5 linked regions of the Sus scrofa genome follow. The protein of the gene in region 5 binds, or shares a complex with, the protein of the main gene of each other region. Links are inferred from orthologs where the notes say so. Each region holds a gene or a part of one and is shown on either strand. Other genes may lie near its edges.

Region 1 (5,082 bases), on a different chromosome or scaffold from region 5:
TCTGCCATGCCACAATGGGGACTCCTCAAAAAGTTAAATTTTAAATCAAACCCCTTCCATGCAATTCTTTTTATCAGCATTACCTTGTTAAATCTTACTTAAGCCCCATCTCAATGTATTCTAGAAATCTAGCAACTCAGATGTACATCAAGATGGCGTCCTTGAAAAACTGACAGCAGAAATCTAAATGAGAGCCTGTCGGTAACACTTCGGGCCTCCCATGGTCCCAGGAGCGGGCAGGGTTCCCCAAGCTCTGGAGTCACTCTGCTGAGATGGTGTGTCACCCGCCAGCTTTCACTCAGAAGTGCACCGTGTGTTTCTTCAGTGTTGGAAGGATCACTTTCTACCAAGAGGAGTGTACAGTTTTTCAGTGCATTATTCTCCTGCGCTTGATTTGAACAGTGCCTTACGACTGGGTCACTTACCTTTACGACCTGTGGAGAAGTACACATAAGGCACCACTTTTCACACTTTGGGGTTTTGTTCCTTTTTCTCCAAGAGTATCTGTCAAGTTCATCTCTGACCAACCCTTTTCTACCTACGTTTCTACTCACTCTGCACAGAGACTTAGGGGCTTAAACCCGACAAATGACCTGAGACCCTGATCAAGGTCTGGCAAGAACCCCCTTTTCCAGATCTAGGCCCACCCAGTCCTCCCTGGCCCCCAGCTGCTCAGCACTTGCACAAGGGTATTTACTCTCTTTTCAGTCTTAGTCCAAGTTCTGCATTTAGAAAAGGCAACCGAGATTCTGGAGCTTGAGCAGAAACAAGCTTTCTTGGCCTCCACCAGCTCGGCCAACACAGTGCAGTTGTGAGGGCAGCCCAGCCCACTCTCCCTAACATCCCAATGTCCCAGCTTCTCTTCTGGCTCTGGGTGTGACATATGACGAGCTTCCCATTTCCCTCCCTTCCCACCTCGCCTGGACCGAATGTCCCCCTCACCCATCCCAACATGACAGATGCCAACTGCTCCTTCAATTGGCCATATATTCGAAGATCCCCTGCTCCTGAACATCTTGGGTAATGTTATCACCTGTAAAAACTGTAGCAGCTTAGAAAAGTAAGCAATGATTCTAACCAACTACAAATATGCAAATAAATTATCTGTTCCTTCAAATGTCTCACGCTTTATCCTGAGTTAAAACACACCGGACAACACTGTAAATCAGCTACAAATGCATTAATACACCCACACACAACACCCCACTGGGTACTAATAGGACCTTAAAGAAGTTAACTGCGGAGTTCCCATTGTGGTGCAGTAGAAACAATCCAATTAGGAACCATGAGATTGCGGGTTCGATCCTTGGCCTCGCTCAGTGGGTTAAGGATCCAGTGTTGCCGTGAGTTGTGGTGTAGGTCGAAGACACGGCTCAGATCTGGCATGGCTGTGGCTATGGCCAGCAGCTGTACCTCCGATTAGACCCCTAGCCTGGGAACTTCCTTATGTGGAGGATATGGCCCTAAAAAGCGAAAAAAAAAAAGGGGGGGGGACAACAAACAAGCAATAGTCACCATCTACCAGCCACTATTCTAAGTGTTTTATATGCATTTATTTGTGCAAGGCTCTAAACAACCCTAGACTGTGGGTAATAGTAATTACACTAATCTAAAAACGGCAACATAAGGGCACAGGGAAGTTCAGTGAGTTGCCCGAGTCTGTCCAAAGGGGCGACATGAAGACTGGAGGAAAGCAGTCTGGCCTCTGAGCCGTCTAACAACTACTGTGCGAGCATGCCCCCACACCCTCATTATCACACTTGTATTAAAACTGCGTGTAAACCACTAGAGGGCATGGATTGTGACCATCCTGCCCACTGGTAGATCCTCAGTACCAAGCAGAACTCTGGAGGGTCATGAATAAATCATGGTTGAGTTCTTCACAGGTATGGCTTCTCTTCTAGGTTGCGTTCCCTAAGGGTCAAGGGCACAACTAACAGGACAGCTCACTTTTTAACCTTGACGAATGCATGGCACCTAAGTGGTAAGAAATGAGTGACAGCCCTTAACACCTGCTGAAGGAATGTGTTTTCTATTTACAAAACCTTGAACCTGAATATAAGCATGAGACGCCCCTGCCTCATCAGAGCCACGTCTTCAAGCCTAACTGTGCAAAAAACCAATAGCTACCTTAACATTTTAAGGTCACTAGGAGGGAGACAAGTGTCCTAGGGTAAAACATCACAGGAAATGTAAAAGTTGTCTTTAACTACCTGAGCGCTGCTCCCTTAAAAGAGCTCGTTACTTAAAAAAAAAAAAGTAAACTTATATTTTGCCAAAAATAAGTTTACATATGGTTCACTCACTTAAAAAAAAATACTCTTTTTAAGGAATCCTTCTAAAGAGTAAATCGCCCTCACTTCACTCAAAACACCCAGTCTTTAAAAATTGAGCTTATTTGTGGCAAGGGACACATTACACAATGCAAAAAAAGATTAACTACACGGCATTTAAAAGAGCTATTTCAAAGTGCAGCCACCTCTGTATTACTTACATCGACAGTAGCCACAGTAAATCTCAGCTCTGCCCGAACACACCACAAATTCTACCGCGGTTATCTCTGCAACTCAAGGACAATTTCCAAATTATTCTGTGTTCTCAGAAGAGCACACACGAAATGAACAAGTCCTTTCTGACGCTACTCTGGAAATGTCAAACTTTGTTTTGTTTTCCTTTCAGCCAAAGAATCGACTGTGAAAACTTGAGCATCTCCAAGAAAGCAGACATCTGAGTGTTCAAGAAGGCCTGGCGCCGTGCGAACCGCGCACCCTAGGAACGCGGCGGGGAAAGCGGCCCCTCCCGCCAGGCCACACCTTCCACCTTCCCGGCCCCCGGACCCCGGCGCCGGGAGACTGCGGGTCTCCGGCGTGCGGTGCCGCTCCGCGCGGGAGGCGCCCAGACCCTGTCCACGGTCCCAGCCCTCTGGCCCGGGAGGGGCCGCGGAGGCTCCCGGGCGCCCGCCTGCCCCGGCTTCCGCCCGCCGGTGCTCCCGCCCGGCCGCCGAGCCGCCCCCTCCGAGCCGGGCCGGGGACCGAGGGCCGGGGGCCGGGCGTCCCCACAGCCGCCGCCGCGCCGGGATCGGCCTCTGGACCCCACCGCCCGCCAGCCCCCCGCCCCGAGGCCGGCGCGCACTCACATCCGTCCGCGTCCTCCTGCAGGTCCTCCTGGAGCAGCGACAGGTCTGCGCCGAGGGAAAGAAGAAAGCCGTCAGCCCGCCGCCCGCCGCCCCCGGCCCGCGCCCCCCGCCCGCCGCCCCGCCGCGGGGCCCGTACCCGCCATCTTGCGGCGCCCCCTCCTCCGCCGTCGCCCGGGGACCGGGGCTACAGCGCGGCGCGCGCGGCGGCCGGTGGACGCGCGCGGGAGGCGGTGCCGCGGGGGCGCGCGGGGCGGGCCGAGCGCGGCGGGCGGACCCGGCCGCCCCTGCCCGCGCGCCGGCCCGCCTCCCGCCTGGCTCGCTCCCGGCCGCCCCGCCGGCGCGCTCTCGGCTCGGCCCGCCGCGGTACCGCGTGCGGTCGGGCGTCGTTGCCGCCGCCGGGGGCCCGCGCCGAGTGCTGGGCCGGGCGACCGGGGCGGGCGGGGCCTCGCGCCGCACGCTTTGTTGGGTCACGGCGCCGCCAGTTCGGTCGGCGGGGCTCAGCCCGGCCGCCACTCTATACACACACAGACACACACACACACACACCCCGCCCTGGCGGCTGCGCGCGCGGCCTCTGCTCCGGCCGAGACCGGGGCACTTCGGAGCCGGGAAGCGCGAACAAAGCCGCCGAGGGCCAGGCGCGGCGGGGCGGCTGGGCTCAGGCCGGTTCCGCCCCCTGGGCGGCGGGCGCGCGCGGGGCGGAAGTAAGGGCGATCCCCGACCTGGGGTTACTAGGATGAATGAGGGACAGCTGGGTCCGAGCGTAGGGTCCCTGACCTCCGCCGGTGCAGGAGGAAAGGCTTCTTTCTAGCTGTAGCTTTTATCCTGAAAGTGTTGAAACAATTTTGGTGGTATATGAGGTGCTGGAGTGAAACCTGTATCACAGGTTTTATTTTCCCTTGTTTTTACATGAGTTAAATGACGAGTACGACCTCTTCCACTCGAGGCCTCGGAAAGGCTCAGCTCCTGAGTGGGGAACAAAACAATGAGGCATCCTTACAGTTTTCGGAACAGGCCAGTTTAAAGTGATGCCACGTTGGGGGTCTGGACTCCTGGGGAGCAGAGAGAATTCCAAATGGTCTGCACTGTGGCCTTAACCAAGGGCACTATTACATTTAATGCCGTTAAAGACCCTCTGAAATTCATGATTCTGTGTAATAAAGTGGATTCTACTAGCTGTTCCAAAAACTTGCCTCGCAGATGCTACAAGATGGAATGCATGTTGCATAGTATATGTTAAGTTTCTGGGAGTAATAATAACTGGAATAGCACCTACGAGTCTAGTTGTGTGTCTTATTTTCTCAAATACAGAGTAATTAAAACTAAGAGCCAAACTGTCACGACCCATTTCTTCCCTGAGAGAAGGCCCTTCCCTGAATTCAGGTGACACTAATTCTCAAAATGACAAGGAGTTAGAAATTCACAGGCTATCAATTGACTCAGCCTGTAAGCATTTTGCCCAATGACACCTACCACTTTAACAATTCCGGGTGGAGGGGGGCAGGCACAGGATTTGGCTCTTTACACGAAGCGGTGATCTCCTTGCAACAACACAAGATCCAGGTCGCCAACTATGCTTCAGCTCCTGGACACACAAAAATAAGGAAACTATCTGGATGGTCTACCCAGTAAAGGCAGACTTCTAATTCTCAATGATTGTGCTGAAGTAGAGGTTACATACCCAGTGTTAGCCAGGGATGCAGAACGGCTAACCCTGCTTTTGCCTCACTGTGTTTTATCTCACTTTCTCTGCATTGGCAGCAGGGAGGAAGGTGTGTAATTTTGTCCATATTGTTCAGGAGCTGTGCATCTAGTTATCATCTTACCTGCACCACATGTTACAGCTGGTCCCTGGAGGCAGCTTGGTTTTCAGACATTTCAATGGGGCATCCTTACAGTTTTCGGCATAGGCACGATTTTTACATTTGATTTTTGTTCACCCTCTA
Region 2 (5,234 bases), about 2.3 Mb from region 5:
GTATCTGCTGTCACCAGTAAGTAGAGCAAGACTCTTCATTTCTTAACCATAAGCCAGCATTTATACAGCGACGCTTCAGTAGGAGTAAGGAGGCACTGCCTTCAAATTATTAATTGCTTTATGTTAAAAGAAACTTATCCTAATTTTCACCAACTGTCTACCTACTCCAAACAAAAGAACTGTGGGGAAAGGCAGGTGTTTACAGCTACTGTTCACCATGTTGGATGTGTTAATCCCTAAGGAAGAAAGCCTTCACATGTAATGCAAAAAATTACCAGAACAGGTTAAACAGAGTATTCTCTATGTAAATGCCAAAACCATATGCCGCTAATACATACATAAATAAAACATTCTCTTTTCAATAAGTAAGTAGAAATGATGATAAATCACAAAAGAGATGGGGAAATATCAGCAACATAAAGGCCATGATCCGGAAACAGTTTTACATAGCAGAATTATTGAAGAAAATGTCCAAATTGTAAGCATGCTAAAATTCTGACTAAAATAGGAACAGAACCCAAAATGTCACTAATAGGCTGTAAATAATTAAGAAAATGGAAGTCAAGGAAAGAGGTTTTTTAAAAAAAAAAAAAAAAAAAAAAAACAGGGTCATTCACTGACTCACATGGGACCAGAAACCTGATCTATAAAGCCAGAAAGAACAAGAAACTGAAACTGGCAACGCAGACCTGAGCTAAGGAAACAAGGATGACAAATATTCCAGGAGGTAACCACCACCAGGTTCTGAAAAACTAAAGAGAAAACTAGCCAAAAAAGGGACCAAAAAATTGTGCAAGTTCAACGAAAATTCTAAAACAATGTAGACAAAATACCTTGAGAAAATTTCTATTTAAGTTTTTTAGATCTGTTCATTAATGGGTCACCTTAGCTTTTAAGAAGCAAAATCCACAATACAGTTTTTAAGAGAGTTGAGAGAAATCTTGTAAATATATGTAAAAGCCATTAGCCTTAAGCAATTCTGTAGAGCTTGTGAGATGAAATTTAAGTGAGAATAGGCTCAATTAAATGTTTAAATCTCTCAGGCAAAACTATAAAGCTCACTTAGCAGAAGTAATATAAACAGGATAAGCTGAAGAAAAAAATTGAACTACCCTATTTGTGGATTTTTTTTCTGTTCAGTAAATAGCATAGAAAATCATACTCTACAATTCACTTAAAATGAATCACTTGGATAGTCTTAAGTCTCATCTAAATTTATTGGATCTTAAGTGAGAACCAAAGCTGCAAAAATTTTTAAATGAGATTCAACTCAAACCATCAGTTGTTCTGCTCCTCCTCCTCAAACAATATTCTCTCAGTTGGGTGATTTGATTTTCATTTTCAACGTTATAAATCCATATCTAAATCTTAATTCCTAACACCATTAAGTGCTATGCATGCAAAAAGTACTCTGGTCAAGTGGTTAAGTAAATCTGAACATAACAGTAACAGGGCATTTCAGAAGTCACTCGTGGATGCCGCCCCAGGAAAAGAGCAGCAATTATCACCAAAAGACTTTATGAAGTACCTGAGCAGATAAACAGCCCTTTCAATATCACTGAGGTCTTCATCAACTGTCAGTCTTTCTATTTCTTCTGGTGTCTGTCAAGTGTAAAATACAAATTATGCACACAAACATCTGATCAGTCTTGCCTCCAGGGACCCTATATGAGTAGAGACTAATGAAAAAGTTTCACAATTAAGCACTGTCATTGAAAACTAATCAAGGGTCTGACGAGCTCAAACCACAGGCTTCTCTAATTATTGGGTTTAGGTGGTGGAGTTTGGGGGTTTGGGGCTTTTTTTTTTTTTTCCTTGCTTTACTCTTCCAGCTTCTAGACTGAAGCTGGAGAATGACATTGTGGCTTCAGAACCGTGCTGAAATCAATTTTATGTGCATATATAAAATATATACATACTTTTAATCTCTACTATCCCAAGACTGTTTTGCCAGCATTTTCTAGCCCAGGAAATGCTAAAAGGGGGAATGAAGGCTGCAGCCGAGTGAGGATGAGAAAGACGAAATCTGGAGGGGGGTTGGGTGGGGAAGGGACTAAACTCTGGAACTGGAAGGAAATCAAAGATTCCAGCTATTGTGGCAGGTGAGACTGAAAAGAGCTGAAGGACTTATTAAGTGGATGCGTGTCTGTGTGTCTGTGTGTTGCGGCGGGGGGCGGGAGGGAGGTCGGGTCCTGTCAACTAGGTTTACCAGCAGTGAAGGGTTGGGGCCTCTGGGAGGAAGATGACTCTGCGGGGTGGGGGAGCTAGTGGGAGGTGGGGGTGGGGGGCTAGTGAAGGTTGACTCCCTTAAGGGGGCTGGGGAGCAGGGTCCCAGCTAGAGTCCTAGAGGGGCTGGGAGGAGAGGACGCGTGGTGACTCAGGATGGGGACAAAGGGTCGCGAAAGCTTTGAAGACCCATGGTCGGACGACTCTAGTATGGGTGCTAGTTGGGAGTGAAGGGGTCACTGGGGAACCTGGGCTTGCTCTGATGGGGGCGGAGGGGGGATGGGATCTGGCGTATCTCTGGAAGAGGCAGGGGCAAGAGTCGGGGCCGTGTTGACTGAGGAATGGGACTGGGGCCAGAACCCAGGCAGCAGTACCAGGGAGCCAAAGCGGGGAGGCAAGGAAAGGACCCAGGCTGAGCTGGCTGCGGCTGCGACTGCGAGGGGCAGCTACCGCAGGGACGCGGGAAGAGGGGCTGCAACCGAGGGGCCCTGGCTGTACGAGAGGGACGGCGCGGGGCTGGTCCGAATGTCAGGGGCTCGGCTGGCCGTTCCTAGAGGGACGGGTTGGGGAAAGGGCCCAGGGCCAGCTGGGCCGGGGGAATTAGAGAACCGAGGGCGTCCGAGGGGTCGCGGGCGGGCCCCGGGTGCCCGTCCCTCGGGGTCGGGGGGTCCAGGCTGGGGGAGCCCGGGGGGCGTCGAGGAAGGGGACCCGAGAGGGGCCATGTTAGGGTAACACGGGGACCGGGGACTGAAGGAGGACTGGGGGGGCAGGAGGACTCCAAGAGGGTCCCGGGCCGCCTCGGGGAGCGGAGGGGCGGGGGTCGGGGCAGGGGCAAGCCGCCGGGCGCCCTGCGGGCAGTTCCTCCACCCCGGGGCGCACCTTGAGGCTCCGGCGGACCGGCCTCTCGATGATGGTGAGCTCCTGCAGGTCCTCCATGTAGCCGAACAGGCTGTTCTGACTGAAATCCATCGCGGCGGCGAGCGGCGGCGGCGGATGCATGGACCGCCGGGCCCCCTCGCCGGCCGGGCCGGAGCGACCCCGGGATGCCGGACGTGCGCAGCCCCACGGCCGCCCACCAGCAGGACTTTCTCCCGCTTTCGGCTGCGAGAGCCGGGCGGGAGGCAAGCGGGCGGCGGGAGAAGGAGCACGGCCGCCGAGGGGGGCGGGGCGGCCTAGGCGAGGGGCGGGGCGGCCTAGGCGAGGGGGCGGGGCGAGGCGCGCGGGCGAGCTACGGGGGCGGGGCCGGAGCGGGGGCGGTGCCCGCCTCAGCCCCGCCCCCTCCCGGGCTCTGCCGGCCGGCGGGCGGGACGCAACTGCCACGCAACGTCGCAGTGGCCCCCTCCGCAACCCTCACCTCTCTGCTCTCCCCTCCCCCTCGCCCCGCCCCCGGTCGAGCGCGCGCCCCAGCTGTGGCGCGTGCGCAGAGACTTCCACCTCCTGCAGCCGGTGGGGGTGGGCTGGGGTCGGTAACCCGGTCCGGGGTTGGTGGTGTACCAGTACGAGGGGAAAAAAGGAGAGGGAGGTGGACTGGGATCTTGCTTAACTTGTTAGGGTCACCTAACCGTGCAGTTATTCCTGGGGCCGCCCTCCCCAGCGCTCTAGTTGTGGATGCGGAGACCACCGTAACTCTGCTCTAGCCTTGGGGGAGCGGTGTGTACCCAAAATAAGTAAATAGAACTTGGTGTGTGCTGGATTGATGGAGAGGGGAGTACTAGGGAGTGCCGTCTGGGAGGAGCTAGCATTGAGGGAAAGACCGCCGGCATTACAGGATTCCCTGAGAGGAGTTAAACTGAATCTTAAGACTTTTCCAAAAGAAGTAAGAGTAAGCCCCTTTCGGATTGAAGCCTGGGCGTGTTTTGGTTGTAGGACGTGCATGCAGTCGGAGTAGAGCTTGAAGTGCGGGAAACCGAGTGCTTGGCAAGGTAGAGAGGAAGAGGCCAACTCTAAGCAGCCACGTTGAGTTGGTTGCGTTTGATTGTGTTAAGAGTAGGAAGCGATAGGGAGGGGATTGGGGCGATTATTTTGGACCTCAGGGACTAGCGTTTTGTTGATAATACTCTTCAGCTCTTAAGAGTGAGCAAGGCCCATCTCTTTTTTATGTCATTCTGGTATGTTCATTCCCTCTGCACGCTCCCATTTCTCTACCACTCCCCACCCCATATGCACCCTCTCTCGTTTAAGCTATGTTCCAGTACATGTATATATCATGGAAATATACTGTTTTTAGTTTAACTATTTTTTAATAGACATGAATGCTACTGTGATAACGGATTCTGTTTCTTGTTTTTCCCTCAACATATCTTGGAGATCTATCTGGAGATATATATATGCCAGGAGTTCATTAATTCAAGCCACCGAAAGTATTTGATTTACCCACTCTAACACATTTTACTTATCAGTTCTTTAAATAAGGAACAGTTGGGTTTCCAGCAATTCCTTGTTATCACAGACCATGCTGGAAGGGGTGTTACACCTGTCTCTTATGGACCATAAGAAAGACATGGAGTTGCTGGGTCATGTGTCTGTATTGCTTGGCTTCACTCGGCCTCAGTACTCTCCAGAATGGCTTTGCCAGTTTGCACTCCCACCAATGGCCTATGAAGATAGGAAAGTTCCTGTTTCTCCATTTTATGTGCTGACATTTGGTATCATGTCCTAATTCATGTCAATCTGGCATTGGTAAAGTAATATCACATTTAATTTTCATTTGTTTCATTTTTTTAAAGTTTTATTGAAGTATAATTCATGATGTTGTGATCATTTCTGCTGTACAACAGAGTGATTCAGTTATAAATGTAGACACAGCCATTCTTTTTCACATTCTTTTCCCCTATAGCTTATCACAGAAATTGGGTAGAGTTTCCTGTGCTATACAGCAGGCCCCCGTTGCATTTCTTTAATGATCAGTGACTACCATTTTTCCACGTACTTAAGAACCATTGAGATTCTTTCCATCTGAGTTACTTATTTACATCTTTGCTGACTTTCTGCTCTATTTCCTACTGTTT
Region 3 (4,995 bases), on a different chromosome or scaffold from region 5:
ACCCACTGAGTGAGACCAGGGATCGAACCCGCATCCTCACGGATGCTAGTCGAGTTTGTGACCACTGAGCCATGACAGGAACTCTTGATGTGATGTTTTCAATAGGAGCAAGTTGAGCTCATGTGCTTTGGGCCTCTGTGATTCCAAGGACCTGAGTCTCCATGACGTCTGAGCAAGCTGAAGTGACTGACACTACCAGCCTCAGCCTGGCCCCTGGTGGGTCCCCAGGTGCTAGACCTACTGCCAGGTGCTAGAGTTGGTCCTCCTCCAGACTGGGCCTGGAACAGCAGTGGCCACCCCAGGCCTGAGGCTTGGACCTCCAAGCTCCACCTCGCTTTCATCTGGGCAGGACCCCACATCCCTCAGTAGCTCCCTGCTGCCTCTCACAGTCTAAATGTCTACCTGGCTGTCAGTGAGTGTGGAGTCCAGTCAAAGACCTGAATCCAAAACCAGCCTCCCCTCCAAGGAGCTGTAAGACCGGGGGCAAGACCTCTTCTCTGAGGCTCAGTTTCCTCTTCTGTGAAACACTCACCACTGCCTGCCTGTTCCACAGGCTGCAAAAAGCAATGGAGGCTGAACACCTAACTTCTGCTATTCTGAAAATTCCACTATGCTACCCAAGCATTAGCTGTCATCACCACCACACTGATCCAGGCCCTGTGGGAGGCAGAAGACTTTGAGGAAAAGAAGAGTGCCAGCCAGAAATGGGTTTAAGTTCCTAAAAATGCCAATCAAGACTGAGGGATGGGAGTTCCCATTGTGGCTCAGTGCCAACAAACCCAGCTAGTATCCATGATGATTCGGGTTCGATCCCTGGCCTCGCTCAGTGGGTTAAGGATCCGGTGTTGCCATGAACTGTGGTGTAGGTTGCAGATGCGGCTCGGATCCCCAGTTGCTGTGGCTGTGATGTAGGCCGGCAGCTGTAGCTCTGATTGGACCCCTAGCCTGGGAACCTCCATATGCCATGGGTACGGACCTAAAAAAACAACGACAAAAAAAACCCAAACAAACAAACAGAGAGAGATTGAGGGATGACTAAAAACATCTTGGGGCTGGTCTGGTCAAGGAAATATTTTTGAGCTGGCAAAACATGAAGAGCCACAGAACAGCGTTTAAAAGGGAGCCTTGCCTGTTCACCAAACCCATGCAGGCCCTGTGTGGCTGTGACAGGTCTGTGTGGGGCAAAGCCAAGCAAAGAGCCCAACGGCCAGCCAGCTCTGCCACCTTCTTGCGGGGAAGCCTTGGTCAAGTCCCCAGGCTTCAAGACGTCACAGCTTCCTGCTCTGTAAAATGGGGCAAATATTTCCAACCTCACAGCATTGCTGTGGGAAGGAAGTGGATATAAAGTTCTTTCAGGTGCTAACAGTGGCCTATTGGTCACAAATGTGGGGGTAATTCTGCTGGCTCTGTTTCTGCAATTCTCCAGCGTGGTGGAAACCACAAATAGTTCCTCAGGAGGCAGGTAATGGGTCTTGTCGTCTTGTCACCACTGCCCACACAACCCAGAGCTCCACTTTTTTTTTTTTTTTTTTTTTTGGCCATGCCTTTGGCAGGTAGAAGTTTCTGGGTCAGGGATTGAACCAGTGCCACAGCTGTAACCTGAGCTGCAGCAGTGACAATGCTGGATCCCGCTGAGCCCCCAGGGAACACCTTCCACTCCTATTCTCAGCCTGCTTGGAATGCCCTTCCTACTAGGCCTGCCCACTCAGCTGCCCAAATTATCCATCTTTCCAGGCCAACTTCTCTTTCAAGCCTTCACTAAGGACTTCAGTCCACATCAGCACTGCCCTCTTCCTACAAAGGAAGAACAGTAACACCCAACAAACATCGAGCACTTACAGTTTACCAAAGCCTATGCTAAGCGCATCCCTTACTCTTCACAGCCACCTCATTAAGTTCTAGAATCCCCACTTTAAATAGGAAGAACCCGAGTCTCACAGACCTCAAGATCACCAACACAGCTAGGAAGTGGCAGAGCTGATTCCAACCTAGAGCCACATTCCAAAGCCTGGCTCTTAACCACTACATCATCCTACTTCCCACAGAACTCTAAGCTAGGCTTCCCTTCAGATCTTGCTTAATTCTACTCTGGCTTATCTGCTTCTATTTCATAGGCTCCCACAAGGAGTATGAGTGTGATCCAACTCCACTTTCTTGCATGATGGCCTGAAAATGGACAGGACATGGAGAACTCGCTTCAGGCTTTACCCCTTACTCCTGAATGTAAGCATCCTCACCTGTGAGATGAAGACAATTCCACACACCTTTTTGGGTTGTTACTGGGATTAAAACAATACTGTAGGAGTTCCCGTTGTGGCACAGCGGAAACAAATTCGACTAGGAGCCAAGATGTTGTGGGTTTGATCCCTGGACTCACTCAGTGGGTTAAGGATCCCTCATTGCTATTGCTGTGGCTGGTGGCGTAGGCCAGCAGCTGAAGCTCTGATTCAGCCCCTAGCCTGGGAACCTCTAAGTGCCACAGGTGCGGCCCTAAAAAGCCAAAAAAAAAAAAAGAATACTGTAAACCAAATCTTCTTGCTGACATTCCCTTTTATCATCTTATTCTTCAAGGCCTAACCCAAAGTTCAGTTCCTCCAAGAAACGTTCTCTGTTCCCCCCCAGACAGACAAGGTTGTTTCCCTAAGCTTCCTAAGTACTTTCTGTAATTCCAACTCCACTGAAAACACATCATCTAATACTTCAGATATTTGAATCCAGGTCTGTCTTCCCCCAACAGGCCCGGCTGCTCCTCGAGGGAAGTGGCCCTATTCGCTCCTCTCTGGGAAAGCTTCCAGGATGAGCCAGGCCCAAAGTTCTCAGCTGGATTTGCCCCAAGCTTCCGGCCTCTGATCAGTGGCTGAAGCCTCTCTTCCCGGGCTCACCTGGCCTTTGCGCACAGGGCCTTGACTTCGCTCTCCTTGATGAGCTCGCAGCGCCGCAGCTGCTCGATCTGCCGGTCCAGATCGCTGATCTCCGCCATGGCCCACCCGCCCCGGAGCGGGTCAGAGCCGGGGCCGTAGCCCCCTCCGCACCGCACAGGGGTCTCCTGGGAAAGGCCAAGGAGAAGCCGCGGATCAGTGTCCTTAAGGGGCGCCGGGTCGGGGGGGGCAACTCGGTTCTGGAGCTGGCCCGGCCCCCCCAACTCCCGCCTCCCCTCACATAGGCCCCGGGGCCCCCAGCGTCCCACAGCCCGGGCCGCCCTCCGCTAACTCCCGTCGAACCCTGAGGTCCCGCGCCAGGGACGGTGGCCTAGAAGGGTCTCCGACTATTACCGACGCAGCGACTCCGGCTCCGGTTTTCGTGCTCCCTGTCTTCCTCTTTCCCTCCGCTTTGGGCCGCCGCCACCTCCGCTTCTACTTCCGGCCCCGCCGCGGAAGCAGAGGAACACCAGTTCCGCCGCGCGCCGGATGTGGCGTCATACACACGCCCCCCTCCCAAGCCGCGCCCTTACCCCACCCCCTCAAGCCTAGGAATGCAAATGAGCCGGAAGAACCGGATGTCTGCAATGTGCGAGCGGAAGTGATTGTGGGCTGAGCGGATTGGCGCTGTGAGGGCGGTGACGGACTCCACATCCGCTCCACATTACCGTGTCAGTGAAGGAAACTGGAACTGAGTCGGCGTTCCGCGTTGTAACTTCAGCGTACACGTTTCTGTTTACCTGTTTTAGTCGGCCTCCCCCATTACAGTCCCTGAGAGATGGAATTTTGTCCTGTTCACACTTGCAGCCCCAGTTCTCACTTAGAACATGGCCTGGCACAGTTGGCATACAGAACTCTTTGTTGGATGGGCGAAAGACTCCCAGTCCAAATCTCTTTCCAAGGCCCAAGAGACATCTCTCCGATGGAGGACCTCTGAAGTTAGAGTCAGAAAGGAGTCCACCTTCCCCACAACAAGCTTATACCTCAGTCAACCTGACTTCCCTGGTTCCAGAAAGGTCTCTTTGACACCCCTCACCCCTGCTCTTGTCTGCAGTTTTATTCCTTTAAAAAGAAGGAGGAAACTGGTGTTCCGGTTGTGGCTCAGGGGTACGGAACCCGACTAGTATGCATGAGGTGAAGGGTTCCATCCCTGGCCTCGCTCAGTGGGTTAAGGATCTCTCTTGCTGTGAGCTGTGATGCAGGTTGCTAGATTGCAGACGCAGCTCAGATCTTGTGTGGCTGTGGCTGTGGCAGGCAGATTCAGTCCCTAGCCTAGGAACTTCCATATGCTGTGGGTGCAGCCCTCAAAAAAACAACAACAAAAAAAGGAAACTGGCTAAAAGAGATTAACTTCCACAGTTACATAGCTAATAATTCTGGGCTTGGGTCAAGGTTGATGTTTTAACCTAGGAAAGCTGTGTCCTCAAGGTCTGGTCTCTTCTGTCACACTTTCTGATGCTCACTTTGTCATTATAAACTTTATAAAACACTCCAAACTGACATTTAAAGTCCTCTGCTTCTTTAGTCTCTTGCTGCAGGCAGAGGAAGCGATTTGTCTTGAAACAAACCTCTTGGTGTCAGAGCCCTTTTGGAATGTCTTTTATTGTCTTCTATGGGCCCTCTCTTTTTCTTTTCTTTTTTTTCCTAGTCTTTTTGCCTTTTTTAGGGCCGCTCCTGTGGCATATGGAGATTCCCAGGCTAGGCGTCTAACTGGAGCTGTAGCCACCGGCCACGCCAGAACCACAGCAATGCAGGATCGGAGCTGCGTCTGCGACCTACACCACAGCTCATGGCAACGCCGGATCCTCAACCCACTGAGCAAGGCCAGGGATGGAACCCACAACCCCATGGTTCCCAGTCGGATTCTTTAACCACTGTGCCATAATGGAACTCCTAGAGCCTCTATTTCTGTTTGCTTCAGACTTTGTTTCACGGAATTGAGTGAGGCTAGGTGCAGAAGTGAGACCATAGTTTGGAGAGGCACTAGGTAAAAATTTGGTTCTGGATGTAGGCAACAAATGGGAATGTACAGAGAGAAGGAAAAACCAAGTTCTTAAACTCCTAGAAGTTTCCAGGT
Region 4 (5,258 bases), on a different chromosome or scaffold from region 5:
GCCACAGCAACTAGGGATCCAAGCCAAGTCGGCAACCTACACCACAGCTCACAGCAACGCCGGATCCTTAATGCACTGAGTTAAGGCCAGGGACTGAACTGGCATCCTCATGGATCCTAGTCAGGTTCATTAACTGCTGAGCCACGAAGGGAACTCCCAGAATTCTTAATATTAAGGGACCCATCCAACCTAACATTAAAAAGATCTGAACTGCTATTCTTTAGGTCTTCACTCTCATGTTTATAATGTTACAAGTTAGACCAAACTCAGTTTACCCGTAAATGATGACAGAAACTACAAATTAATGTATCAAAAGTTAAGGTATGCCCATATTGATTTTTAAAAAATCAACAAAGGGTAAATAAAAGCTAAATGTAAAAACCGTTTCAATCATAAATTTTAAAATATTTTCCAAACTCCATGAAGAAACTAACACCACCAATCATTTTTATACAAAATACTTTAGTAAATGTAAAAAAACCCCTAAGGATTGGAGGGTGGGGGTGGACAAGAGACAGGGTTGAGACAACTGATGACCTCTTAAGTCCTCTATCAGGAAAAATAATTGTCCAGAAAAATCAGGTTAAATTTCCCCAGGCACTTAGTGATCCAGTCAGACAGGATATTTAAAAGCTTTCTTATAGAAACTTTCAACTACTTACGCATTTACGGTCAATGCATTTTATCAAAATGGGAAGGCAGTTGGTATAGACCTAGAGGTTTTAAGTATTTAACTCCAAATAATCTTGTCTGTCAAAACTCTGAAAGTAAAATGCTATTCCTCTTGATATTGTAGACAGGTAAAAGTCTGGATCACTAGCAACCAATACAAATACAAATCAGTCATTCTGCATCAATTTTTTTAAATCAAGGTATCTGAGCTACTGTACTTTTGAGGCAAAAATTTGCCTTTTTTTTCCCGTAAAGGGTTCCATTTTTAAAAGTACTAGATAAAAAATTTAAGATTGAACATATCATGTCACATTCTTAAGATGACTAATAATTTTAATAAGCACTAAAGAGTTTCAGCTTGCCTGCCTGACCATTAAAATAGTTTTTTTTTTTTTCTTTCTAAAATCAGGCTAGTTATCAGAAGGCTAAGTTGCAAATGTAAGCAATCTTGTGAGAAACGAACATTTGGTAATAAAGCCAAAGCAAGTACACATCACTTGTGGAAGCTAATACTCTTCTATTAGATCTCAAAAAAATAAATAAATAAATAAATAAAACTAGGCATTTATAGAGGAGCCAAAAAGAGCCCCCCTTTTAATACTACATCCAAAGAAACCTCTCCCCTTCCAGCTCCCTATCCCTCACACAAAGATTACAAGTAAATCACCAAATCTGCACTTCTCTCTACAAATAAACGTAGACTCAGTGTGAAAACTCCTGGCAAACAAACTACACACACAACAATGAACTAAAATGTTCTTTTGGAAACAGTTCTCAACTTCATCACAACATTTGGAAACAAGCCTAATAAAATGCTGAGCATATGTTAACAAGCTAGCTATCCTAGAAAGTTTACAGGACAGTCAAAACTGTAGCATCTGGAATATGTCAGATAATCACCCTAAGAGCTCAAGAGAATAAACAGAAGTGAAACTTCAAGCACCCACATATATAAACACAACAACAAAAGGTTGAATACTGGACAATATGAGAAAATACCACCAAAAGAATCTGAAACAGAATCAAAGCCACAAAATTCTGGAAATAAGCCTGTTTGTTATGGCCAAAAGTGGTCATAATGGAATATGCAGTCTTCCTTTCTCTAGCTCTTCGAGAATAATAAATACTACATGTGCAAACGCACAAAGAAAATTTTAACAAATTCTTAAAATTCATTATAGAGCACTATGAAGTAAATAAAGCTATATACACTTAACACATGCTTTAAATTACTGGGCTTGTACAGTTTAGACAGATGAATTATTCAACGCTTCTGAAATAGACTTTAGTCCCTTGTCTAAGCAATTCTGAAGGATACATTGAACTATAACAACGACTACGTGTTTTCACTCACATTGTTTCTCCAGTCTTGGCTACATGACAAAGAAACTGATCCAGGACCGGACAAACTTCCTTTTTCCCCCTCTTCTCAAAATCTAGATAAGGAAAGAAAGAAAAGTTATTAGTATTTCTCAAAGTGCACCAACCAGTTCCAATGTCCTCTAAAAACAAACTTTCCTCCCAGTCCTTCCTCATATTAAGCATCAATTTAAAAATTTTTAAAAATCAGCCTCTCAACCAAATATCCACCTCTTGACTCTCCTAGTTCGACTTCAAATGTACCTCTTCACAGGTAACAAGACTCGTCCTAAAGGGGGCACTAAATTTCTCCACAAACCATCCTTAATGCAATGCTTCTCAAAGTGTGGTCCAAGGGAACACCAAGACCAGATCCATCTGAGATTGATTAAATACAAACCCCAGATCCCGATGCCCACAAATTGTTTTTAAGGTACGTTCATAAATCTACATTTTAAGAAACACCAACTACCTCTTGTAGCTATCTCCCAAAAACGCCTATTTCTCAAAACGCTGAAATCACGCTATCCTAAGTTTGAGAACCACTGTTCCCAAGCCTGTTGCATGGAAGGCCAGCCTGCCAATTCAGAGCGGGGAAGGCAACCACCTTAAAATTAGGGCGCGTTAAGAAATGACTTCAGAGGCCCCGAAAAAGGCTTTCCGAGAGACACTTGAAAGTTGCTTTGCCGCCCCTCTACCCACCCCCCGAAACCTTTTACTTTCTCTCTCCCCACGAAGTCCGGCGTGCGGGGGCCTGATGGAGAACGAAGCTCGCCTGGGAGGGGGCTGAGGGCCCACGACCCGGGCTCGGGGAGTACGAGAGGGGCCGGGGCCCCAGCGAAGGCTTCCCGGCTCCCCTCCCCCAGCCCAGACGCCGGCGGCCGACACAAAGCCCAGAGCGGGGCGGGAGGGAGCTGCCCACGGGGCTCCCCGCCCCTGGGGAGGTGGGAGGGGGAGGGGAGCTGGTGAAGGGCGCCCTCCTCCCAGCCCGGCCCAGGCCCGCGGAGCCCCCCGCCGCAAAAGGAGAAAGGAGAGGGCCTCGAAGACTGAGAGGAAGGGAGAGGGGGCAGCAACCCCCACCTTTCAGCGCCTCCTGCAACCTCTCGACGTCCATGGCTTCCCGGAGTCCCTCGCAGCCTCCGCCTCCTTCCGCGGGTCTCCCGGGGACCGGAAGGCCTCCCCCCACCCCCCCGACGCCCTCCCCCTCCCTCGCACACACTCCGGCACGCAGGCGACCGGGGGGGGCACCGAAGGGAGCCGGGGGAAGCGAGCAAGAGAGCGAGACCGAGAGAGCGAGCACCTCCCCGAGCCGCTACCACCAGCCCTCCAACATGGCGCCCGGCACGTCACCGCGCGCACGCTCCCAGCTGCCGTCCTCGCGCCCGCGGCGCGCCCGGACCCGGAGCCCGAGAGCGCGTGCGCGGCGGAGGCGTGCAGACCCAGCCAGCCCTCAGACCTGGTCCGCGGCGGCCTCTCTGCTTCTTCCCTAACCCGGCGCTTGAGGTGCGGGAGCTGAGCTGGAGGTGGAGAGGGTGGGGGCAGACCTCCAGGATATGATCCCCTGTCATTTGCTATTTGTGTGACCTTGAGCAGTTTACTGAGCCTGAATCCCACTTCCCCATCTGTACACTGAGGGCGCTAGTATGGACCACCGTATACAGTATAGCGGTCAGAGTACGCACAAAAAAACAGTCATTGCTAATAATCGTGACAAAAATACCTCCCTGCTTGAATCCAGAACTCCTCACTGATCCACCCTTGAAGAGAAGCAGTGCACACAGCAAAGGGATTAGAAGCTTAGGCAACGGAATCCCTGGATTTAAAACCCAACTGCTATTTACTATTTACCATTTACTGTGTGACCTAGTTAGTTAAACTCAAGTAGCCTCAGTTTTCTTATCCACAAAATGGGAGTTAACAAAACAGTCCTGTGGATTGAGTGAAATGACACTGGAGCATGGAGCGCGATGCCTAGAATTCATAATGCGGCTCTGCTAATGCGGCTGTTATTATTATCATTATAATTTTGATTACATTATGTAAGTGCCCAGGAAGTCAGAGAGGGCGGAGACCTCAGAAGTCCTCTCCTGCCCTGACATTTTACAAATGGGAGAGTTGAGGCACAGAGAGCTAGCTAGTCTGGCAAAATAGCAGCAGAGCCTAGAACATCTGGCAACCAGCTAGTGTGTGGCCATGTTTATTATCTTCTCTTGTCTGTGAGCTTTTTAAGGAAAAGATACTGAATTGTTCCACCTTCTCTTCTCAAAGCCTAGTAAAAAGCCAAGAAACGAAGGGAGGGCAGAAGGCTATTATCTAGACTGGTGTTGAAACTGCGAATTTGGATACAGGCACTGTAACTATTAACCCTCTGAAAAGATAGTGGCTCTGACCCTGACCCCAGGTGGCAGAGGTAGGCAAAAGCCCTCCTTCAAAAAAAAAAAAAAAAAAAAAAATACTTTTCTGGAGCTCCCGTCATGGCTCAGTGGTTATCGAATTCGTCTAGGAACCACGGAGTTGCGAGTTCAATCCCTGACCTTGCTCAGTGGGTTAAGGATCCAGCGTTGCTGTGAGCTGTGGTGTGGGTTGTAGACTTGGCTCAGATCCCGCATTGCTGTGGCGCTGGCATAGGCTGGTGGCTACAGCTCCAATTCGACCCCTAGCCTGGGAACCTCCATATGCCATGGGAGTGGCCCAAGAAATGGCAAAAAGACAAAAAAAAAAAAAAACCCAAAAAACTTTTCTCTGAGTTCCCACCATGCATGGCTCAGCAGAGACAAATCTGACTAGTATCCGTGAGGACACAGGTTCAAGCCCTGGCCTGGCTCAGTGTGTTAACGATTCGGCATTGCTGTGGCTGTGGTGTAGGCCAGTGGCTACAGCTCCAATTTGGCCCCTAGCCTGGGAACCTCCATATGCTGTGTGTGTGGCCCTAAACAAAAAAAAGAAAGAAAGAAAAAAAAACTTTTCTCAATTTGGCCGTAAGAGAACCAGTCTTGGAATATCTTTAGACCATTTCATTGTTCCAAGCATCCTGCTCAAATTATAAATAGTCTTATGGGGGGTGCACCATTACACTTGGCCAGCACTTCAGAGGCACTAGATTTAGTTTATTGCGGTTTCTTCCAGTCTGAAGGAGCCATTGCTCTATGTAGCAAAGCTTAGCCTCCACTCTCTCTGCCCCTGTACTCTCTTGAGGCAGGTGTCTTCCCATAAGACATCTGTGGAAC
Region 5 (4,566 bases):
ACTAAACATTTTCTAGTGGCACTATAAGTTAAATATACTATGTTGATAATTCATATGACAAAGTAACTTATTCGCAAAGCTTTAATAAGGAACTTCCCAAGAAGACCCTAAAACTGTTTTCTAAATCACACACACTAAGGGAATAAAATGCAGAAATAAATAATCCTAACTTTGTAATAATCTTCAATGCAAATAAAAACAGCTTAATACTGAGTACCAGCTTTGCTCAGTCTACACACCTCAAGTACAAATAACTTAAAATGAATTGTCTCAGAGCTACTTCACGCTGTTTGTTTCCGTATGTAAATGGAAACTAAATACAAATAGTGCTTTAACAAAAAAATGGCTTCAAAATTCAGAAAGCAGCAAATAAGTATCTTAAGTATTTTCTTTTACAGTTCTATTATCTCTGATTATAGCACATTCTCTTCTTTTTAGGGCTGCACCTGTGATATATAGAAGTTCCCAGGCTAGGGTTGAATTGGAACTGTAGCTGCCACCTTATGCCATAGCCACAGCAACACCATATCCAAGCTGCATCAGGGATCAAAGACACAGCCTCATGGATACTAGTTGGGTTCTTAACCACTGAGCCACAATGGGAACTCCTGATTATAGCACTTTTGAAAGAAATTTTACCTTGAAATTACCTCTTTTGAAAATATGTTACTAAACCTCTATATTAACACCAACCTTCTGAGTTTCAAAGTTTAAGAACAAAGAATTTAACTACCAACCTGTATTATCTTACCTTTGCTAGGTTTGTCTTCTGTTGTATTTGCCAGTAATGGAGCAGTAAGGACATGCATACAGTGCTTGTAGAAGAAACCCAGAAATTCAGTCTTTTCTGTTTTCTAAGGAATCAAAAACACTTCATGAACTTTAACTGCATTGGTTCCTACCAGCAATCAAAATTACACGAGTATGAAAAAGAGAAAAATGCCCACGGCTTACATTGGCAGTAGCTAGCATGTTTTCTGGGTCAACCAAGGTTCGAAGCAGGCCCATAAGTTGGACTGCTCCTCCAAGTTCAGGGTCTGTATCACAAATCATATGTTCTATAATGAGGTTGATGAGCAAAATATCCTGGTGGGAAAAATATACATAATAAGGATCACTTACTAAGAGTAAGGATGGAAAAAGCATATACTATGACACATGCTATAGCATTATACCTGGCTCTAGCTATCTTGTTAACTGCAAACAAAATGAAATGACTGACTGGAATCTTTAATAGGATATATGGTAGTTTCCCAAAGGTATGGTACAGACACATTACACAAATAGTACCAAAAAGTTCTTTTTTTATTATCTTTAAATCCCCTGGATTAAAATAAAAACAAAGTTTCAGTTTGGTGCTAATAGATCTTTTAGAACTCTTAATAATAAAATCTCTCTTCTGAAGAAAGCTAATGGGACTTTGCTTCATAGTTTTAACAGTACGATTATCTAGCTAGAATTTATAACACTGTTCTTTTACTGCATTTTTATAGATTCCTTCTATGGCAAATGATAACTTTATCTGTTCTCCTTTTACAGAAATGATATAAAGTTTCCATTTAAAATAAATGGTTTTCCCTATGGTTGGTCAGGCAGTAAAGAAAGCATCCTAAATACTTTCCAAAGGACTATGCTTCATCATTCTTGATAATTTTGAGACCTCTATCCCTAGCAAAGCCAATGCTTTCTTAGGGAAGTTATTCATAATTCCACATACAGAAGAACAATTTATTGATGAAATGGTTTTAAACATTATAACATAGCAAGTTAACTTCAGAGTTAAAAAACTTAATTTCAAAAATTTTAAAAGAAATTGAAATTGAGCATTAACAAATAACTGCTGTAAAACAATTTATAAACTCAGGAGCCAATTTAGGGGAAGAATAAGTCATGATATCATGGGTATACTTTTCTCAAACACTGACTAAATCTTTAAGAAATGAATAATAAATATAGTTATAGCTCCCCACGTATAAATACTTACTGTTAGTGAAGATAATATTTACCTTGTTGGTTATTTTTTGCTCTGTTAACTTCTTACTTACATCATCATTCTGTTGTGCCTCCTGCATGACAAACTCTCGTACCATGGATGGATTATATTCAACCAAGTATGAGAATATATCAGTAGCAGCACTTCGCACCTGTGTATCATCCATGCCCTGCAGGTAAAAAGCACTTATTTCTTCTATAATAATAAAAATATGGAACTTGCAGCTATATAAATCTAAACCCTAACAAATTATAAGAATATATTTCAATAAAAAGGAGAGGTCAAGGAAATTATGTTGTATGTAAAATTACTGTTCTATGGGATAAAGTTATACTTTCATTTTTTCCCGTTTATTTTTCTCCTCTAGCATTTTATATATTTATTGTCTTTTTGTCTTTCCTAGGGCGGCACCTGCGGCATACGGAGGTTCCCAGGCTAGGGGTCTAATCGGAGTTGTAGCCGCTGGTCTACACCACAGCCACAGCAACGTGGGATCCGAGCCACATCTGTGACCTACACCACAGCTCACGGCAATGCTGGATCCTTAGCCCACTGAGCAAGGCCAGGGACTGAACCCACAACCTCATGGTTCCTAGTCGGATTTGTTAACCACTGAACCATGACGGGAACTCCAGCATTTTAATATGATGCAAAGTTAAATTGTTAAAAATATGGAAAATTCCGTAATTGTCCTTTTAGCACTGTGTAAGGACTCTCTTAATACTAGAATTTTATAGCTATTTAACTTTATGTAATACACAGCTGATGTTAAATATTAGCTATAATCAAACAGTTGCATGTTACATAAAAATATACTATTTTGTGGGTTAAAAATATAATGGTAATTAAATATAAGGAGAAACAAACTTACAAGGATGACTTCTAAAGCTGGTAATATACCCATGTTTGACAAAGTCTTGAAAAAAGCATCTCTGTTTTGAGGTTGTAGCGTTTGGGAAAACGCACAAAATTCTTTTAAAAAGTTAACCTGAAATTAGGAAAAAGGTTAAGTGAACATAATAGGTTGTATTGTTTTAGCTTCATGGCCTTTATAATATCAAATTTCTTACCAATTCCTGTCTTTTTTCCTCATCTGTTGCTTCATCTGTTAATTGTGCAAACAAATCTGTCAGAAATTTTTCATCTTCCTGTGAAATCAAAGGATAGATTTTAATTATGCTAATAATAGTAAGAGTATATAATAAAATACATTTTCAAGATGTTACTGTAGAAGATATAAATTGCAATAACTGGAAAAGGGAAAGATGGTATTGGCAATGCTGTTTTTTAAAAGAGAAGGAAAAAATTATTAAAGGATAAACTGGGGATTTATACAGAAAGATTATACTTTATATTTCAGCAAGGCTCTATTTCCTAAGGTAGTTAAGGGCCACATTTAAAAAATTTTGGGCTTTGTGGGCCATATGGTCTCTACCACAACTACTCTGTTATGTTGTTACAGTAGGAAGCAGACACAGGCAATATGGCAATGAATGAGTATTACTTTATGAAAGAAAACAAACACGGTTGGTAGACCCCTCATTTTCACTGGGCTTCTGCAACCTCTCAAAGGAAGATAAAACTTCCTTCACATTTTAAAAACAGCAATAGTTAAAAAGCTAAATTCAGAACTTTGGAATTAAGAAACATCTATTATTTAAAGATACACACACAAAACAAATACAAAATAACTTAACACGTATTATTCTACATTAAACCATTTCTGACTTCCTGTTCAATTTTGTCTATAACTATTTTTAATTAAGATTTTATTATATTTTAATTCCATACTACTTCAGCCTTACAGACATGCCGCCGAAGTCTAAATATGTGTATGTGTGTGTGAGACCTTCCACGGATTTATAAACCCCACATTCGCTGCCGTGGGTGTTTAAGAAACATTTTCTGTGATGCTAGTGATTCCCACTTTTACTTTTCTATGGCCTAATGTACAAATAGGCCATACCTTAAATGTCATCTCCAATGTCAAGATCCAGCTAAAATATATCCCACCAAATGGAAATCAAATGACTAAAAATGATTCTCCAGACTGCCACAAAGTTTAGAGAATCAAGACTGTTTTAACAGTGTTACATAGAAATCAGTCAAGGGCAAGGGTTATGACTGTGTATAAGATGGGTTAAGAACTGCTTCTCATCAAAGAAATTTGTAAACTCTCCTTCTTTCACAGTATTTTGAATATAAACACTCTGCATCAACAGAAACAGAAAGACCCACACAACTGGCAGCCAGCATTTTACAGAGCATACTGTAGGGAAACAAAGACGTAACTTGAAATTATTCGTATTTAATGAGTAAAACTGGCATTTTACAGGTAGGAAGACCAAGAAAACACAGAAGTGACAAATCCCTATACAACAAAATGAGAACCATGTGGAGCTAAGGAAAAGTACCAGCAGCACTCAGGATTATCCAAGGAAACCAGGAATCAAACAAGCACAGAACAGGTAGCTAACAAAAACTAGTTCCCTTATCAAAGAACAAATGAAAACTGATACCAGAACCCTTCTCGTCATTATCAATCAAAATGTACCATTTAGAGATTACTGTTG

What was found. Proteins that work in one complex are often made in the same cells at the same time.
Region 1: PPP4R3A (region 5) and PPP4R1 share a complex: the UniProt entries of both Homo sapiens proteins name them as parts of the PP4 complex. The link is inferred for Sus scrofa from reciprocal best matches to the Homo sapiens genes PPP4R3A and PPP4R1.
Region 2: PPP4R3A (region 5) and PPP4R4 share a complex: the UniProt entries of both Homo sapiens proteins name them as parts of the PP4 complex. The link is inferred for Sus scrofa from reciprocal best matches to the Homo sapiens genes PPP4R3A and PPP4R4.
Region 3: PPP4R3A (region 5) and PPP4C share a complex: the UniProt entries of both Homo sapiens proteins name them as parts of the PP4 complex. The link is inferred for Sus scrofa from reciprocal best matches to the Homo sapiens genes PPP4R3A and PPP4C.
Region 4: PPP4R3A (region 5) and PPP4R2 share a complex: the UniProt entries of both Homo sapiens proteins name them as parts of the PP4 complex. The link is inferred for Sus scrofa from reciprocal best matches to the Homo sapiens genes PPP4R3A and PPP4R2.

The regions. Positions count from the first base shown.
Region 1 is NC_010448.4:98,461,141-98,466,222, reverse strand, and holds the start of PPP4R1 (serine/threonine-protein phosphatase 4 regulatory subunit 1), read right to left. Parts: upstream 3,391-5,082; 5' UTR 3,280-3,390; coding exon 3,273-3,279; intron 3,182-3,272; coding exon 3,137-3,181; intron 2,561-3,136; exon of another isoform or gene 2,495-2,560; intron 1-2,494. UniProt on the Homo sapiens protein: Regulatory subunit of serine/threonine-protein phosphatase 4. May play a role in regulation of cell division in renal glomeruli. The PPP4C-PPP4R1 PP4 complex may play a role in dephosphorylation and regulation of HDAC3.
Region 2 is NC_010449.5:115,410,625-115,415,858, reverse strand, and holds the start of PPP4R4 (serine/threonine-protein phosphatase 4 regulatory subunit 4), read right to left. Parts: upstream 3,391-5,234; 5' UTR 3,226-3,390; coding exon 3,106-3,225; intron 1,603-3,105; coding exon 1,529-1,602; intron 1-1,528. UniProt on the Homo sapiens protein: Putative regulatory subunit of serine/threonine-protein phosphatase 4.
Region 3 is NC_010445.4:18,261,212-18,266,206, reverse strand, and holds the start of PPP4C (serine/threonine-protein phosphatase 4 catalytic subunit), read right to left. Parts: upstream 3,391-4,995; 5' UTR 3,273-3,390; intron 3,047-3,272; 5' UTR 2,981-3,046; coding exon 2,883-2,980; intron 1-2,882. UniProt on the Homo sapiens protein: Protein phosphatase that is involved in many processes such as microtubule organization at centrosomes, maturation of spliceosomal snRNPs, apoptosis, DNA repair, tumor necrosis factor (TNF)-alpha signaling, activation of c-Jun N-terminal kinase MAPK8, regulation of histone acetylation, DNA damage checkpoint signaling, NF-kappa-B activation and cell migration.
Region 4 is NC_010455.5:54,323,110-54,328,367, reverse strand, and holds the start of PPP4R2 (serine/threonine-protein phosphatase 4 regulatory subunit 2), read right to left. Parts: upstream 3,391-5,258; 5' UTR 3,146-3,390; coding exon 3,112-3,145; intron 2,109-3,111; coding exon 2,027-2,108; intron 1-2,026. UniProt on the Homo sapiens protein: Regulatory subunit of serine/threonine-protein phosphatase 4 (PP4). May regulate the activity of PPP4C at centrosomal microtubule organizing centers.
Region 5 is NC_010449.5:113,123,721-113,128,286, forward strand, and holds part of PPP4R3A (serine/threonine-protein phosphatase 4 regulatory subunit 3A), read right to left. Parts: intron 3,142-4,566; coding exon 3,064-3,141; intron 2,982-3,063; coding exon 2,865-2,981; intron 2,163-2,864; coding exon 2,007-2,162; intron 1,087-2,006; coding exon 955-1,086; intron 855-954; coding exon 752-854; intron 1-751. UniProt on the Homo sapiens protein: Regulatory subunit of serine/threonine-protein phosphatase 4. May regulate the activity of PPP4C at centrosomal microtubule organizing centers.